Kluyveromyces lactis: one gene and its partner. The protein of the gene in region 1 interacts with the protein of each later gene in a pairwise test. Links are inferred from orthologs where the notes say so. Each region holds a gene or a part of one and is shown in the gene's direction. Other genes may lie near its edges.

Region 1 (3,739 bases):
CAAACTATATCACAAAAACTTAAGGATTTTCTTTCACCTCACTTTTATCAATCTTCGTCAACCCTGTTCGCTTACATCCAACACTGGATGCATAGGAAATGATTTGATTGTTCTTTTTTATTTCGTTTTTTTTTTACTTGGTTGTTTGATTCCATGAATTACCTATATTATTCTACTACCTTACCTATGTCGTTGCTGCGTGTCGTGAATGTGTGTCGTGTGTCGTGTCGCGTGCTAACAAATTTTTTGTTTTGAGTGTAAGTGTATTGTGTTAAATTAACACAGTATATACTACTCAATCTCATCTATCTGTGTCCTAATTTGAAAATTATTCCATTTCATGAATGAAAAAAAATTGACGTTTATGAACCGTACAGCAGTGTGTGTGTTGTGAAAATTCATAATCGTCGATATTTGGAGTATATATATAACAAAAAGGAATGGAGTGCAGTAGGTGAACCGTGTTTCTTTCTTGGCGTTGAATTCTGAATCTTTCCCGCCTGTTCATTCGAGCACTCATTTATTTGTGAGGGACATTTTCAAAATGCTGCTAGAGAGAACATGTCAATAAAACATCAACTGAGCGGTTTTGTCCATTCCTTTTTCTCTCCCTCAAATCATTCCATCCATCTCCAATACCCAGTGAATGTATTTTTGATGCTTACTAAAGGGGGAAATAGAAAAAGGAACTTATGCTAGTTGATTGTATCACAATTCTTTCGCTTCTACTCTCATCAACTTACCCTCATGTATACTTTAGTGTGTGTGTATCATGAGAATGAATGAGGAACGAAAACAAGGAATCCCCGGTGATATATTTATATTACCAACCATCCCAAATATATTATGTATACGTATATACATCTCTTAATATGTGTTGAAAAGTGTGTCAAATTGACCCTGCCCATCTTTTCCTGTCTTTTGATGTTAGAACCTTTGTCGTTTTCTTACACGAGGTTGGTATGTCACGTGACAACTCCGTACATCACGACTATCTGGCAAAGAAATTTCAACCAAAAAAAAAAATTCGAATTTTTTGGATGGCCAAAAAAGAAGGATTTTAATCAAGATGGATATTATATGGGATTGAATAAAAGATTGGTTTGCATTCTACTTCAATTACACTGTTACATATATAAAACAATACGGTGCTCTTGGCTTCCGATATATTTTTCTGTCAAGCAATACAAAGAAACGAATCAGATTTTCATTTACTCAAGGGGAAACGCTATTTGTGATTGTTAGAGATTGATTTTGCGACTGATAATTTCTTCTTTAAATCCAACTTCTCTTTATTTTTGTTTGATTTGGAACCCATTTGCAAAAATATCTACTTGAAAAGACGGGACGATCAATTGTGATTGTGAGTTTGGTAGAAAGGAATTAGTTACAATCTTTTTTTTTACTTCTCTGAATTTTCTTTGGTTCGCGGCTAGCACGAAGGATCAGATAGCAGGTATCCGTTTTATTATTTTATAAGTGAAAGATGGACGGTGACACTTCCAGCAAGTTTGTTCCTGAATACAGGAGGACAAACTTCAAGAATAAGGGTAGATTCTCTGCTGATGAATTACGTCGTCGTAGAGACGTTCAACAAGTCGAGTTGAGAAAAGTCAAGAGGGATGAGGCATTAGCAAAAAGAAGAAATTTCAATGCGCCTGTTGGTAACGATTCTGATGATGAAAATGATGATGATGACGATCAGGACTCCTCTTTCTACAGACAATTACAACAGGAGTTGCCTGCTATGTTGGAACAAATCCATTCTAACGATCTACAACAACAGTTGGCTGTGACGGTCAAGTTTAGACAAGTCTTGTCTAGAGAACACAGACCACCTATCGATTTGGTTATCAGTACTGGCGTAGTGCCAACCTTGGTCCAATTCATGAGCGAAAATCAACCTGAGATGTTGCAATTGGAAGCTGCTTGGGCGTTGACGAACATTGCTTCTGGTACTTCTGAGCAGACTAGAGTCGTCGTAGATGCGGGTGCTGTGCCATTATTCATTCAATTATTATATTCAAACTCGGTTGAAGTGAAGGAACAAGCTATTTGGGCCTTGGGTAACGTTGCTGGTGATTCCACCGATTATAGAGACTACGTTTTGCAATGTGGTGCCATGCAACCAATTCTATATTTGTTCGAATTGAACAAGACTTCCTTGATTAGAACAGCTACGTGGACTTTATCTAACTTGTGTCGTGGTAAGAAACCTCAACCAGATTGGTCTATCGTGTCTCAAGCTTTGCCAACTTTGTCTAAGCTAATCTACTCCATGGATACTGAAACGTTAGTCGATGCTTGTTGGGCTATCTCATATCTTTCCGATGGCCCGGTTAATTCGATCCAAGCGGTAGTAGATGCTAGAATCCCAAAGAGACTTGTAGAACTACTATCCCACCAATCTACGTTAGTGCAAACCCCTGCTCTAAGAGCTGTAGGTAACATTGTCACAGGTAACGATTTGCAAACTCAGATCGTTATCAACTGTGGAGCCTTGGCAGCTCTAAGAAATCTATTGGCTTCTCCAAAGGAATCCATAAGAAAGGAAGCTTGTTGGACCATCTCTAATATAACCGCTGGTAATACGGAACAGATTCAAGCCGTTATTGATGCTAACTTAATTCCACCATTAATCAGATTGTTGGAAACTGCAGAATATAAGACAAAGAAAGAAGCATGTTGGGCCATCTCGAATGCCTCTTCTGGTGGGTTACACAAGCCAGAAATTATCAGATATTTGGTCAGTCAAGGCTGTATAAAACCATTGTGCGATCTATTAGAGATTGCTGATAACAGAATCATAGAGGTTACACTAGATGCTATAGAAAATATTTTGAAGATGGGTGAAATGGATAGAGAAGTCAGAGGTATTGCCGTGAACGAAAATGCTGATTTCATTGAGAAAGCTGGTGGTATGGAAAAGATCTTCAATTTACAGTCTAATGCTAACGAAAAAATTTACGAAAAGGCCTTCAAGATCATTGAAAAGTACTTTAGTGATGAAGATGATGTTGTTGATGAATCTATGGCTCCACAAACAGCTGGTAACACTTTTGGATTTGGATCAAATGTCAACCAGCAATTCAACTTCAATTAAAACCAACTCTAGCTGTGCGTGTGTCATGTAATTACATTTGCTTTTTTTATTCTAGACAATAAATGAATACTACGCGCCTGTTAAATATCATATAATTTTTGCATTAATGTAATCTATCTATAGTATTATTAATCTACACTTCTCCCTTCATTGTGAAACAGAATTCTATGTCATTAAAGGGCCCAAGTCTTATTTGCAGTTTTGAACCACGATAAAAGTAAAAACTGTGCTCAAAAAACAGTATCATGGACCTTCTCTCTGTCATAGAAATTAGGTGACCAGTTAGGTGCATATCACTTTCGGTGTTACCTCTACATGTTCCGATGCATAATATCAACATTTAAAGGTTTGGATTTTTGTAAACCTTTAAAAATACACAATCGAAATTTCCTCGGTGAAACATCGCCTATAATCACACGAAAAGGAAATATCCAATGCATATGTGCTACTTCAAAGCTCGGAGTTGAATATTACGCTGATGCGATAATATGAGTTCAATGCCTGAATTTCTCAATCTGCGGTCTCCCCAGAGAAAGATTAGTGACTCACGAATAAAACGGATCAACAAAATGTTTGACGCGAAGATTAAAGATGAGGTATCAGTTGTTTCGAACAATAGCACAAGTGTTTTGCAAG
Region 2 (2,798 bases), on another chromosome or scaffold:
TGCAAAAGGTTAATTAAAGACGGCAATGACTGCGTTGTTCCCATTTTTCCAAGAGTATGGTGCACTTCTGATATTTGATTTGACATGATACACTTTTCCCACACATGTCCCAAAGAAACTCTTAGTAACAGTAACAGATGAGATTCCTCTAAGAGTTCTAGTTCCGGATGATCGACAATCTCCATGATCACTTGCAAATAGAATTCTCCATTATCATGAAAGAGTTGTTCGAAGGTGTGATTGTTCATAGAATTGCTGGAAAAAGATATGACAGTTCCTTGCAAGTCTTTATTCAACCATTTAAAGAACTTTAAGGATCTTCTAATGAATTTGAGAGATAGATATTGTGTGGCTTCCGTCTTAATATTTAATAAGGCCTTCAACCTTCTAGGATAAACTTGAAAGTTTGCAATTGCCATATCCAATTCATGACGTTGCACAGTTTTAATTAGTATTCTTTCCTGTACCAAAAAATGAACAACGTCAAAATCTTTACAATTATTCCTAAAAGAGTCGATCCACGATTTCCAAGACGGAATCCATGAATTTAATATGACATCTCCCAAGTTAAGGTCTAAGAATCGCATTACCTTTGCATCCAATGTTTTGAAAGTCTGTAATTGGAAAATTATATCGTAGAACCCGGGAACATGATCTTTATGGGGTCGTAAACTGCAAGTCTTAAGGAATAATAAATTCAAATTAGAATTTTCTTCAAGTTGACTAATGAATTGAAATACAAGTGTTTGAAGTGATTCATTTACGGAACAATAAGTAAACGCTACTCCAAACAAATCAATACCTTCTTCAACGGCATCAACCATAGAAACAGAAACCAATAATCTGGACAATAAATTGTCACATACCGATTGATCGATACATACCGCTTGATTCCCGGCTACTCTTAATATTTCAAGTAATTTATACCAAACATTAATCCTGTGTAAATCGTCTGTCTCTTTAGCCGCCAATATCCGAAATAAGCCATCTAAATTCTGAATTGGTTGTAAACTTATTGAGGATATGCCATCCATCTTTACCAGAAAGAAAGCTTGCTTTTTTTTACAATCAAAGCTCCAAAATATGCCGAAGTAATGTCACTTCTGGCGTTCGGGATAATCATTACTTTATTTCTCTTGATTAAGATCCAAGATAAAACCCCTTAGTTTATATAGTTTCAGAAGATTCTTTTTTCTCAAGATTTAGACGCCCAATACTATGAGACAATAACGAAAAAAGGATCGAAAAATTAAAAAAGGGTTGATCAGTTCGTAGTATAAAGTAGATATGTTTCAGATTGTAAATGCTACGGCCGTACAAAGCAGCAGTGTATCCAATGTATACAAGGCAGGCAATTAGCACCAACCACTGTCTTGACTGTTCATTTTCTGCGGAACGACGAACATTGCTCTCGGTTAGGTAGGTATTTAGTATATAAAGTAGCACATACTTGAAGGGAAAATTGCACTGAAAAAACAAACCGTTTGAAAAATTAGGGAGATAATAAAGGAACGGTGAAAAAACGTGAGACACAAACATCACTAAGTAATCGAGACTCCGTATTTGTTAACGATGGGAGCCCGTGCGTTATTAGTAATTGATATTCAGAACGATTTCTTACCACCAAAAGGATCATTGGCAGTTCAAGATGGTGATACTATCATCGATCCTGTCATCCAGCTTTTGCAAGATCAGGATTGGGACTGTGTTGCCATGACTAAAGACTGGCATCCGCCAGACCACATTTCTTTTGCAAAGAACCATGGATTACCAGATTTCAGTTCATTCACCTACGACTCACCCGTTCCTGGGAGCACCGAGAAACAAAGTGCTACGTTATGGCCAGTCCATTGTGTCCAGGAGACATGGGGCTCTGAGGTTCCGGAAAAATTACTCGCTGAAATTTTAAAGCTCAAGGTGCCACATAAGATTGTCAATAAAGGTTACTTATCGGATCGTGAGTATTATTCCGGATTCAACGATATCTGGAATGATCATCACACTGAACTTGACGCCTTTTTCAAAGAGAATGATGTTACTGAAATCTATGTGGTCGGACTTGCATTCGATTTCTGCGTAAAAAACTCAGCAATAAGCGCTGCAAACCTTGGTTACCATGTAACTATACTCAAGGATTATACTAAAGCTATCGCAAATGATTTGCAATCGATTGAATCGTTCATCCAGGAATTGGCCAAAAATGAGGTCTCAGTTCAAGAGTCCATCTGATCTGGACATGTTATATGGACCGAAACTTCAAAACTATACACAAGACATATAATACCCGCTATGTACACGTCGACCGCTGATTGTATTTATGAACCCCTCTATGAACTCATATCATTGAACTGAACCCTGAATCCATTACTTGCCCTCTGCATCTTCTTTCTCTTGGTCAAACGACCGTATCGCCCGTCTGTCGATTCTGGCCAGTACAAAAGCTTTTTTTAGATTTTTTACTTCGCTAAGGTTGTATAGACCTTTTTTTTTCAGTTTTTCATATATAGTTTCATGCTGAAATCTCATCAAATGATTAACTACCACTGCAAAGAAAAACGCATTCTGTACATATATACATTCTGTACATATATACATTCGTATCATAGATCAAGAGGTGTAGGTTTTAACAACAGTTGGAGCGTGTGCGAAACATTAATTTAATTGGGTTTACTGTTTAGAAAATTGGTTTTTTCTTGCTGTTTGTTGTTTTTTTCTTCATTGAATGATAAAAAGTTCTTAGGGATCGATAGAGAGAATTAATCGTTTGATTCACAAACAACATCCCAAAAACATTAAAT

What was found.
Region 2: the proteins of SRP1 (region 1) and PNC1 interact in a two-hybrid assay, tested with the Saccharomyces cerevisiae proteins (2 studies listed by BioGRID). The link is inferred for Kluyveromyces lactis from reciprocal best matches to the Saccharomyces cerevisiae genes SRP1 and PNC1.

The regions. Positions count from the first base shown.
Region 1 is NC_006040.1:729,553-733,291, reverse strand, and holds SRP1 (karyopherin alpha), read left to right. Parts: upstream 1-1,486; coding exon 1,487-3,103; downstream 3,104-3,739. Other genes in the region: KAR1 (Kar1p), read left to right, coding at 3,592-3,739. UniProt on the Saccharomyces cerevisiae protein: Functions in nuclear protein import as an adapter protein for importin beta nuclear receptors. Binds specifically and directly to substrates containing either a simple or bipartite NLS motif. Promotes docking of import substrates to the nuclear envelope.
Region 2 is NC_006042.1:2,078,893-2,081,690, reverse strand, and holds PNC1 (nicotinamidase), read left to right. Parts: upstream 1-1,572; coding exon 1,573-2,229; downstream 2,230-2,798. Other genes in the region: VIR1 (Vir1p), read right to left, coding at 1-1,034. UniProt on the Saccharomyces cerevisiae protein: Catalyzes the deamidation of nicotinamide, an early step in the NAD(+) salvage pathway. Positively regulates SIR2-mediated silencing and longevity by preventing the accumulation of intracellular nicotinamide, an inhibitor of SIR2, during times of stress.